Schizosaccharomyces pombe: one gene and its partner. The protein of the gene in region 2 binds, or shares a complex with, the protein of the main gene of each other region. Each region holds a gene or a part of one and is shown on either strand. Other genes may lie near its edges. The genes, in order: naa35 and naa30. A codon is read from its position in the direction of its gene.

Region 1 (8,109 bases), 1.1 Mb from region 2:
AACCTAGATTGTTTAATATTTTCTAGTATTTTAACGAATTGCTTTTTTACTTTTTTCCATTTAACTTCCCCTTGTTTTTTAAGACTTTAGTGTTTATCTTGAAATTTACTTGACATTATACGCATGACATTTACCTAAGGAACCCAGCAAAAGCCTAGTCTTCGTCGGTTTTGACGAAATGAGTCAAATACAAGATTTAAAAGATGAGAATGTCGAAATGGATATTGATCCACAAGAACAAAACGAAAAAAAGCCTTTGCTTCTGGATGAATTGACCAAATTTACGATTTTACATCCCTATAATTATGATAGTCATATTAAACTCATTGAAGAGTTAAAGCGTCTAGATAAAAAGAAGGAGTTGTCAGAGGCTAGAAAGACTTTTCAATCGATCTTTCCACTTTCAGAAGGTATGTCAATCAACAATCGTCTAGGTAAAGCGTGTTGAGGCGAATTCCATAGACTCGCAAAAATTATTCACTAATTACTTTAACTTTGTTAATCTTTTGACAAGCATTTATTAATGGTTTTTAGATTTGTGGGTAGATTACCTTTTAGATGAGTGCAAAAACTGTAGGACTTTAGACGACTATGTGAGGATAAAAACATTGTTTGATTTGGCAGTTCAAGATTATCTGTCAATCAAAATTTGGTGTATGTATCTTGAATTTACGCTAAACTTAATGGACACTTCTTCTTTTGAACAAGAACAGTCTGAATTAAACGGCGTTATTACTTTGACAGATGCCCATTCTCTTTTTGAACGTGCATACCAAACTTGCAAATTTCATTTTTCTAAAGTAAGGAACTAAAAATTTTCTTCATGATAAAAATGTATTTACTAATCAATGTTTACAGAGTCAATGTGTTTGGACGTTATATTTGGAATTTTTACAGACGTTCGGTGATGCTCTATTTGAGGGAGAAGAAGAGCAAGAAATTGTTTTTAAAAACAAGATATATGATTTTCATATTGATAGATTAAAACTTCCACATGAGCAGATTGAAGAAACGTTTACTTCTTTATCAACGTTTGTCACAAATAACTGGTCTCCTTCCGAATATGAGGATGTTATGGTGAAAAGCAATAAAGTGTATGAGACTACACTTAAAAGAAATGCAAAAATTTTTAATAAAGAACTATTGTTAAACAGCGCAAATCATTCTCTCGAAGCGTATATGGATTTAATTAATGATGAATCGCGACGCTCAACAGCTGAGTTACAATATATAACAACTCTCTATGAGCGTGCCATAGTTTTGTATCCCCTCATTCCGGAACTCTGGTTGCAATACACTGCCTGGCTTAGTAAAGTGGATTTTTCTTCTTCTCAAGCGTCCAGTGTAGCAGAACGAGCTACTCGTAACTGTTCATGGATTGGGCGTATTTGGTCCATTAAACTGACTTATATGACGCTTTCTGGAGCATCCACATCGGCTGTCTGTGAAGAGAAAGATCGATGTTTGAATTCAAATTTGCTCGTAAATTTTGACGAGGTTATTGATTTTTTTAGCGGATTTTTAAAAGCATGCCTATATTTGTCTTCTAATGAAGATAAGCCACAGGAATTTTTGAAACATCAAATTCATAAAGTCGAAGACTATTTGCGAAAAAATCATAAGGGATCAAAGGATGCAAGAATGCGCATTGAACTTTCAAAAATTTATTTATATTCAGAAATCTCTGATTTTGAAAGCGTAGAAAAGTGCTGGTCTGATATGTTTCATGATTTTCAAAATCAGGCATTATATTGGATTTCTCGATACATAAGTACGATGAAGTATAACCCAGAGCTTGCGGCTGAGACGTTAAAAAAAAGCCTTTACAAAAACGTTGATCAGCCTCAACTTCTGTTCCAATTTTATCAATCCATTATGGACCTTAATAATGACTGTTTCACAAACACATCACATTTATATGACGTTTTAAATGCACAGAGGATTAGCTTCAAACGTCAATTGGATTCTTTTGCTGAAGAAACGAAGCAGACTGTCGAAAACACCGAACCACTAAAAGTGCCTCAAGCTGATGATACAGCCGCCCTTTCAAAGAAAAGAAAACCTGGGCAAGAAGGTGATGTGTTCAAAAAGTCGAAACCTATTGAGCAACACAGGAATAGGGAAGAACTTACAGTTTTGGTTACCAATCTACCTTCCGATATAAGCGAAAATGAGTTGAAAATTTTTTTCAAAGATTGTGGTAATATTATACGCATTTTTATCCTCGAAGACAATCAAAAGGATGTTAAAGTGGCTCAGATTGAATTTTCTGAAACCAGTGAAGTTCTTGCTGCTAAAACAAGAGACCTTAAATCGATAAGGGGTCATGAAATTTCTGTTCAAATTCATGTAGACACGAACCTCTACGTTACCAATTTTCCTCCGACTTATGATGAATTAGATATAACCAAATTATTTTCTGCATATGGTAATGTGGTTGACGTCCGTTTTCCTAGTCTAAGGTATAACACGAACAGGCGTTTTTGTTATGTACAAATGAGAAAGCCCGATGAGGCACACAATGCCCTGCAGTTACATAAGAAGCTATTGGAAGAGAAGTATCCTATTCAAGTCTTTATATCAGACCCGCTTCGGCGAACTCCTAGAAGCGGTGCTGTCTATGAGGGTAGAGAACTCTACGTTACAAATATTGATTTTAAAGTAAATGAAAAAGACGTAGAAACATTTTTTAGGGATTATGGGCAGGTTGAGAGTGTTCGAATACCGAAAAGATTTAATCAACATAAAGGTTTTGGATATGTGGTAATGACTACAAATCAAGATGCTGAAAATGCACTTTCTGCTGCTGGAAAGCAATTGGGAAATAGAGTTTTGAACGTTGTTTTGTCGAAGCCTCGAGAATCTCTAGAGAAAACAAGGGTATCATCCAATGACAACCGAACCTTAGCTAAAAGCTTTGAGACTACTGAGTCAAATAAAATGTCAACGCCAAAAAAATCATTCGAACAAATCAAAAGCAAAAGCCTAGGAGTCACTAATGTCGACGGGACTGTTAACGAGGCTAGACTTAGAAGTTTATTCGAAAGCTACGGAAAGTTGTATAGAGTTGTTCTTCATCCTGAACATGAAGGTGCTGTAGTAGAGTTTTTGGATATTCATGATGCGGGAAAGGCATCCTTGGCATTAGAAGGACATGAAATTGGTGGCAGGTTACTACACATTACCACTGTCAATGAAATGATGCACAATGTCCCATCTAGTATGAATCATTCCGATTACAATACCTCTGCTACACGCCCACGGCGACTCGGAAGCCGAACGTTTCAAGGTTTCAATTCCAATCATTCCAATATAAATTCTAAGAAGGACGATTTAGACGATAAAGAAATGCAGATAGATGCACCTAAAAGCAACGATGATTTTAGGAAAATGTTTTTAAAATAGTCAGCAATAATTAGATTGAATGATTAAAAAAATATTGAAAACCTAACTTTTGATAATTTTGATTTATTAACATAAAAGACGAACAACACCTCATGTACGTGAAAGACTTGGGAGCGGATTTCCAGGTATTTCCACTATTTTTAGATTAGCACTATGATCTTTGGATAAGATTGCAAGTGAAACCAGATTTGTAATGCAGCAACATAATAAATTTTTTAAATAGTTGGTTTGCAAGAAATACGGGTTGATGAACTCATTCTGTTCAAAACCGGATTTTATAACATTAATAAGGCTATTCTTTGCAGCAGTGAATTTTTCATTAGATTTGATGATTAAATCATCCGTAGAGAAATTTTGAAGATTTTTGATTATGCAATCAGCTTCCGAACGAAGTAGTGGCTTGGGTTGACGCAAATTAATTAAAGGACGATAATGGGCCATGTAATATGACTCTTGAATTTTTTCATCAAGAGTAAATGAAGGAGTTTTAATGATATTCAACCGCATACAAAGCACCGTCAGCTAAAATCGTTAGAATAAAAAAGAAGCGATAAGCTTTATACATACTAGTAAATAGCCAGAATAGGTCTCCTTTATAGCATTCAATATTCGATGCAAATATGTAACAAAGGTTTTGGCCATAGGTGGGGTATTACGATCCTTTCCATGAAGCTCTAAATGAGTCTGGTGGATAGAAAAGACATGATCAAGCACAGCAAAAAAATGGGGCCATTGATATGGTTGGTGAAGTTTTTGTTCAAAGGAAGAAAGCAAGATATGCTCAATTGCATTTAGCTTAACATGGTAAATAAATGATGAAAACGGTCCATTACTTGGTAGGCTTTTTGCTACGAATTTCAAATCAAGCGCTTCAGCTTCAAAATGAGCAACGGTAATTTCAGGAAGTAAATTTATTAGATTACGGCGGAACCGACAGGGATTGTGGGAACAAATTCGGACAAGGTCAACCATGATATTAGTTGAATGAGCAATCAAAGACTCAACTAGCGGACCATAGGCTGATGAGATAGAGTTTTTTTCGATTACTGTACGGGTGTTAGGATTATAAAAATTTGAAGGAAGCCCAGAAAACTCACGAATACATTCTAACATATACGAAGTAGGTTGATCCCTTAGATTAACTGCATTGTTAGCAGTGATAAGTGCTTGAAGGGAGGAACGGACGTAAGGCTCTGGAGTACGATTCAATCTCGTAAAATCTAAACAAAACTGATATACTGCCAAGGAAGAAGCGAGAGTGTGGCTATTCAAAATCAAAAGCATATCATCAGCAAAATACAAAATTCGTTGATAAGAATGCTCAATGCCAGTAGGAGGAATATTCCTCACAGGAGCTGTAGCAACTAATTGGGCTTGGACGCGAAAATCCCAATATTGCTTTAATATGCTCTCCTTGATAGATGAATCAACTACCGAAACCGTGTTCTGAATCTCGGGTACCAAATTTTTGATCAGATGGAGAGCATCGATGGTGGTCTTAATATCACTCCTTTCATACACTCGTAAAATACCAATTCGAAGTTGTATTCTATTGAGAATTCCCTCGATAATTTGTCGTAACTCGGCAGAAAATTTTATAACCTCGGAAGCCAAATATTCGATGCTAGATTGCAAAAGATAATTGAGTTTTTCTATGGGGTAATTTTGAAGAAAGGACATGTGATATGAAAACGAACTAATGTCTTCCTCGTCATATAAATTTCCCATCAGAAATTCTCGATGAACAATATCGCAACATTTAATAACAGCCAAAACAAAAGGGAAAAGAACGATGTCAGTTGTATTCCTTCCGCTACCACTGGAGAAGCCACTGTCACCCACTTGTGAAATAGGCGACTTGCAAATGGAGAACACATGGGCACTACAGAGTAAGCTCTCTGATAAGGGGGATCCATAATGCCACTCTTTTTCCGCAGAGACAATTAAATCCATTAACGCTAATATTTCCAAGTAAGAGAGATCACGTGAAAAATCTACACGAAGTGGCTGATAATCAATCCCACTATCCATTTTCGGTTCCATAATTTCAAAGGCACTGATTGAATCCAATAATGTAAATTTTGGATCACATACTAGCTGTTCCTCTTTCAGAGATTTCGTGGCTTCAAAGTAAGACTTTGTACAGTCGACATATCCAGCGTTATCAACATAACCTTCGTTCCCTTTGGCCGGTTCCACATTTCCAATCTTCACATTTCCTTGCATAGAATTAAGCAATGATAGGGACTCTTTAACAGACATAAAATCGACAAAACACCCCTATATTGACCAATTTTCTATTGAACGTCTAGTTTATGGGTTAATGAAAAGTGTTACTCTGTAAGTCACAACAAAAATTCCACGCATAAAAATGCTTGTTCAATAACATTTTCGAGAGTAAATAAGATGGTAATTTTTTCAATAATAATAAAAACAATGATAAATCCAATTTGAAATTATTTTACTTGTATCTGCAAAGGTAAAAAACTATCTCGATGGTAACCCATCTCACCTAGCAGTAGAATATCTAAAAACTTTTTATAAAATAAAGAGAAGGAAAACAAAATAAATACTTTAAACAATTATGCTTTTTTGAACATGAGAATTTTGTAACTTTGAAATTGCACCAGTTCGTGGAACGTGCAGTCGCAAAGTGTACTGCATAAATAGATACATGCATGGAAGAATCGTGATTTCAGTCAAACACTGCATTCATAATCTTTCTCTTTAAATTTTCGAGTTCTAAATTTTTTTCTTTTAGGGCCGCATTCAGTTTGGCAATTTCTAATTTTAATGAGGAAACAGTGTCTAAAGGCTCCATTGAATTTGAATGAGATATAGGGACATCGGGAATCATCTGAGCTTCTGCTAATGAGTGCATACTCGGCGCTTTTTCCAAATTGAATGCATGACATATAGTAGCTGTTAATGGTCCTTGATGAACGGTCCAAATTAAGCGATCGGTACTGGCTTCAAGGATTTCGGAATGAGAAGAGACCAGGGCTAAAAGAGTACTTGAGATGAACTTAAAATTGGGAGTTTTGGGGATCGGCGAAGTTTCGGAGGGAGGAAGATATTGGGATATCGTTTCAGTATAGTGTGATAAAAGTTGAGAAACCGTTTCCATGGGCAGACGAGCAACATGTGAAAATGCAGAGCGAAGCATTGTATTTTGAGCATGCATCAACTTTTCAAATCTTTCATACCAAGAGATACTTAGCGTTAATGACACAGATGGTTCAGATCTCAGCCGTTTAATTTTGTTACGAGCTCCTGGCGGACGCCCGCGTTTACGAGGGACTCCTGCTTCATTTTCAACATTTTCCGTTTCTACTTGATTGGTTTGTCGAGACCAAGAATCATTCAACCCGTCACTTTCTTTGGGTGAAGAAACGTCTCGTAAATCATCAGGCCATTGATGCCAGTCAGGATCAATGGAATCAGCAACGCCAACTGCTTCAGCAGTTTGAAAAGCGTGATCATGGTTATGTGAATTGTTGGCTGCGGAAGGTAACTGATGGTCTTCGTCAGGTGGTTCAAACATATTTGGAGGATGTGGGAGAGAATGGTTTTGAGGAGTTGTCTGATGTGCTTGTTGAGAACCTCGTTCAGACATGTGATGGGACGCTCTCATTAAAAGGGATTGAGGGGTAGGGCATTCTTGGGAATCTGCATGAGGGTTTGTGACAAAGCTACCAAGATTGTGAGTGTTGTCGTCTAAACTAGCACTAGCTGAATGAATCCAGTTAGAAGGGGAGGTTGACGTGCGCATTGTGGAGATGGAGGAAGAGTTAACATCTGGATGAGACATTAAGCCTGCACGTAAAGATTTAATAACCAAATCATCAGTTACATTTACATTGCATCGAACTTGAGGTTGGGTTTCAGGAATTTCGAGATAATAAGGATTTGGTTTATTCAGGAGATAATCGAAAAAAGCATCAACATGTGTTTGACTCATCCACCGTTTTAAACGAACAACATACTGTTGTATTTTTTGAGTAGATTGTTCATCTTTTCGTTCCACACCAAGAAAACCCACCAGCTTGGACCAAGAGTTAATTATTTTTTGGTGGTATTGCCGGACAAGGAGAAATAAGACCCAAATCTCAAATTTTTGACCCTCTGATTTAGGAATCATATTGAATGCATTTGCTAATTGCCTCGTGTCAGCACCTGCATACCAGGGATTGCAGCAAAGACAGAATTGGCAGAACTTTTCAGTAATATTATCCGCGCTAACATCATGTCTAGATGGCAACAAGGAATAAAAGTTCATCCTTGATTAATTGCTTTAAAAAACAATAAAAAATGTAAAAAGACAGATAGATAAACGTTGGATTATTAAGTAAACACGACAGAAAGACACAAGCAATGTCGAATAAAGAGATTAACAGTATATAAATATCAGAAAAGATCCAGGGATTTTAATAGAATGTATCAGTTCTTGGAACAGGAAGGAGTTGCTGTCTATAAATTAAACTCCAATCTGTAAATGAACCGATGTTTTTTTTTCCGTACACTAAAAAAAGGGAATGGAGGTAAATAAAGCAAAAAAAACGAAATAAGAGAATGAATGTAACCAAAAAAAAGAAAATATAAGTACAGATGTTAAATTTTGTTTGTTTCTTCTCTAGAAATTAGAGAAGTATTGACATGAAGTAGCTCGTCTACACTATACGAAAAGATGCACAGATTATGAAA
Region 2 (3,461 bases):
TCTTCTTTGGGAGATTCTTGGAATTTTGCTGACACCCGTATTGTTGTTTTTCACTTTTCCTTCCTGCAGTCAAGATATTGTGGATTTCTTCAGAGAACATACTATAAACGTTGAAGGCGTTGGGTACGTCTGTAGTTACGCTGTTTTCCAGGACAACCCGCCTTATGAGTCTGTCGCTTCTTTGGTACAATCACGTAAAATAAGCCCTCTAATTCAAAATAAACCAGAACTTTCTCGCATCAGCTTTTACGAACAATTTAATACGGAAGCACCTAGAAGGGATCTTCGTTAATGAAATTGAGAGTCAGTTCTTGAAACAACCAAGCAAGTCTCAATGGCTTAATGGTTTATTTTTCTGTCATACAAAATGAAGGACAATGTTTATAAGAAGTGTTAACAATTTGCTAGCAAGGCAATTTGAGCCACTAATGCATGTAATGATTGTATTTTTACTAATTTCTTTTAATGAATGGTGATTGTTTGTTTGGAGAGTTAGCAGTTTACGTTGAAGCTTCTTTATTTATTCAGCTGTAGACTTTATGTTTTACTATTAATGAAGTTTACATTTAATGGAATGATATTATTTTTATGAACATCCGTACAATTTCTTTGAATCAATGTAAACACTGTTTATTACAGTTATAATTACGGAGTTACGCTACAGTGACGACTAATGACAATTACTTATGGTATTAATCAGTAGAAGAAAAAAAATAAAAAAAAATAAATAGATTGGAACAACTTTAAAACTTTCACTTATACTGCGACAAGTGGAAACAAATTTTCTTAGAGCATAGAAAATGCCGCGATTTTATTTTGTAGCATTGTTTTTCAATTCGGGTACAAGATGTATCGAAATGCATCAGTGCCGTTCAAATAATAACGATAAAGACGTTTATAGCGACAAAACCCGAGTCTTTCATAAAAAGACATGGCTGCCTCATTATCCACCTCTGTTTCCAAAACAATTTCCTGGGCACCTCTATTTTTCATTACATCCAGACTAGCTTGAGTCAATTTAGTAGCGATTCCTTGTCCCCTGTATTCTTTTACTATGGCCAGCATTGCTATATAACCTCTAAGCGTCGTCCCTCTATGAACATCTTGTTTGCATATTACAGCTCCAATAAATCGATCATTATCTAAAGCAACAAAACTGAATTCTGGCCTTTAATCTGTCAGTAAACTATAATGATATTGCCGAGTTTCATAATATGCAAGAAGCAGTTTGAGAAATCAATGAAATGGGAACATACCATTGGTGCACAAAATAACGATACACATATTTACTATATGGCTCACTCAAATCTTTTTGAATAAGCTGACATATATCTTTTAAATATTGGTGACTGTATGGGACAATTGTCACCATTCTCTTCTAGATATAATTTAGGGTCTGTAACGGTTGCAGAGCTGTATATATCAACAGCTTTAAGACGAATGTCGAAATTACAGATATAGCGTTAAAACGTTATATGCGGTTCTTAAACTGAGTATTATAAACAATGAATAAACGAGTAGGCCAGTATAAATTAAGTTTATAATTTGGCTTTTTTGCTTGGATTTGTTACATCTATGTCAATGATATGACATTTATAATATTGAGTGTTATATAAAATAATTTAGTATAAAAGCTTTTTATTGCGTACATTTAAAATTAATTCAACAAACATATATCAATATACATTATTAAAATGAAATATAAAATAACTGCCATTATTGGTTTCCGACGACGAAAGGAGATATTCGATGTAGATTACGCCCAATTAGGATAATTTCGGGATGGATATCCTTTTCTAAAAATGCTCGAGGCTTCTCCGACAGCGGCATAATTTCGAATACTTCGCGAACACCCTGAAAGATGTACCAAGAGCCATCGTCTTTATTAAAAATTCCTTTACTTCGATAAATCATAAACTCCTCGTCTTCCCCTTCCTCCAAACAAGACCAAAGTGTATGACGAACCCATTGTAGAAATTGCTGAAAAACCTCTTTCGACATTAGTGGGGGCAGTTTAAAAGTATGAGTTGAGATATCAAGGCTATGCGTATCGAGAGAATGCAAATGTTGGCAATCCACGTCCAAACAAGTAGAACAATTAATATTGCTATCATTGCTCCTTTGAATCGACCACTCAAGATTAGAAGTATTTTCGTTGCCGTATGCATCCAAGTCCAAAATTTCAGAAATGTCATCCAACCGTCCATATGTTGTTTCAATAATCTTCGCTAAGCAATTGATCTTCAATATAGTTTGACGTACCACAGATAATGCTTCAGAAGAAATAAGATCTGTTTTGTTTAAGATCAAACAATCAGCATGTGAAATTTGAATAAAACCAATATCACTTTCATCCTTTAAGATATTATCTATATTTTTACAATCAATAACAGTAACGATGCCATCTAACTTGACATCGCTTTTCAACGCGTCGTCCAACCAAAATGTTTGAGCAAGAGGACCAGGATTGGCTATACCCGTTGTTTCAATTACAATGTTATCAAATCTCCCCTTTTGCCTCATAATTTTTTCCAAAGCTTTAATCCCATTGTCTTTCACAGTGCAACACATGCACCCATTTGAAAGAGCCACCCACTCTTCATAAAGTTCTTCTCCTCCAACATCCTCCATTAAGCTCCTTTCAAGGTCTCCCGAATCACCCACCTCATTCATTAATACAGCAACCCTTTTACCATTTCGATTTTCAAGAATTGACCGTAGCAAAGAAGTTTTACCGGCACCCAAAAAGCCCGTCAGTATTGTGACAGGGACTGGGTCCAAGGTAGAGTCATGATCAACTAGAAGAAAATCTGATTGCTGCTCAAATGAATCAATATCATTATTGGACGAAACCGTAGGTACGCTTAATGTTTCCGAATGCGGTTGTGTGTTAACCTCTTCAACGTCAACCAGCTGTGGAATTTCCGACTCGTTTTCAATTTCAAAGTCCATTCTTACACCTTTTTTAAATAATGGTCATATAATTAATCTTTTCGAGTTGAATACTTTGAGAAATACTTCTAAAAGCCTCAATTTAGGTCTCACAGGTAAATACTTTCGAAAAGTGTTAATAATGAATTTTTTTAGTATGAAATTAGCACAACACTGTGTTTGCACTATATGCAGTCATTTCGTATAACACTGACATGGTTTTATAGCGAAAATTGTCAGCAGCTACGAATGAATAGTGTGATAAATTACTTATACAACGAATTTTACATGAAATGACTTTATAGCAAAAGCAAGACATCAGAGCAAAATAATAATAAACATAGCAAGTAATTTATTAAAACTACATATAGGCAATAGAATCTTTAAACATATTATTGCGAAATATTAATTATGATACAATAATTTACAATTATATATGATGAAAGAAAATGTTACTTTACATAATCCATTTCGGATAACTTTACTATTTAAGGCAACCATATCGCCTTAATTAGTAAAATTGCCCCAAA

What was found.
Region 1: the proteins of naa30 (region 2) and naa35 are in contact, whole or in part, in a cryo-EM structure (PDB 7L1K), measured with the Schizosaccharomyces pombe proteins. Residues at the interface, in NP_596246.1 of Schizosaccharomyces pombe: His9 (codon at 1,348), Leu12 (codon at 1,339), Gln20 (codon at 1,315), Leu23 (codon at 1,306), Pro26 (codon at 1,297), Tyr27 (codon at 1,294), Ser28 (codon at 1,291), Lys29 (codon at 1,288), Tyr30 (codon at 1,285), Val31 (codon at 1,282), Arg33 (codon at 1,276), Tyr34 (codon at 1,273), His37 (codon at 1,264), Glu122 (codon at 921), Arg123 (codon at 918), Gly125 (codon at 912), Phe126 (codon at 909), Cys127 (codon at 906), Arg128 (codon at 903), Tyr129 (codon at 900), Lys130 (codon at 897), Arg131 (codon at 894), Leu132 (codon at 891), Tyr133 (codon at 888), Arg134 (codon at 885), Tyr136 (codon at 879), Leu137 (codon at 876), Asn138 (codon at 873), Gly139 (codon at 870), Phe143 (codon at 858); in NP_596720.1 of Schizosaccharomyces pombe: Glu53 (codon at 5,511), Glu54 (codon at 5,508), Leu56 (codon at 5,502), Leu64 (codon at 5,478), Leu65 (codon at 5,475), Ser67 (codon at 5,469), Ile68 (codon at 5,466), Ala70 (codon at 5,460), Glu72 (codon at 5,454), Glu75 (codon at 5,445), Pro76 (codon at 5,442), Lys77 (codon at 5,439), Met78 (codon at 5,436), Tyr116 (codon at 5,322), Gly117 (codon at 5,319), Ser118 (codon at 5,316), Glu185 (codon at 5,115), Glu186 (codon at 5,112), Asp187 (codon at 5,109), Pro304 (codon at 4,758), Val305 (codon at 4,755), Arg306 (codon at 4,752), Asn307 (codon at 4,749), Ile308 (codon at 4,746), Pro309 (codon at 4,743), Asn441 (codon at 4,347), Cys443 (codon at 4,341), Arg446 (codon at 4,332), Arg447 (codon at 4,329), Gln503 (codon at 4,161).

The regions. Positions count from the first base shown.
Region 1 is NC_003423.3:4,131,277-4,139,385, reverse strand, and holds naa35 (NatC N-acetyltransferase complex subunit Mak10), read right to left. Parts: upstream 5,728-8,109; 5' UTR 5,668-5,727; coding exon 3,973-5,667; intron 3,928-3,972; coding exon 3,496-3,927; 3' UTR 3,406-3,495; coding exon of another isoform or gene 859-3,405; 3' UTR 801-858; downstream 1-800. Other genes in the region: RNA-binding protein Prp24, read left to right, coding at 179-410, 535-800, 859-3,405; ARS-binding protein Abp2, read right to left, coding at 6,101-7,684. UniProt on the Schizosaccharomyces pombe protein: Component of the NatC N-terminal acetyltransferase.
Region 2 is NC_003423.3:3,020,344-3,023,804, reverse strand, and holds naa30 (NatC N-acetyltransferase complex catalytic subunit Naa30), read right to left. Parts: upstream 1,408-3,461; 5' UTR 1,373-1,407; coding exon 1,257-1,372; intron 1,169-1,256; coding exon 832-1,168; 3' UTR 675-831; downstream 1-674. Other genes in the region: autophagy-associated protein Atg9, read left to right, coding at 1-292; zng1 (nucleotide-binding domain-containing protein CobW/HypB/UreG), read right to left, coding at 1,717-2,952. UniProt on the Schizosaccharomyces pombe protein: Catalytic component of the NatC N-terminal acetyltransferase.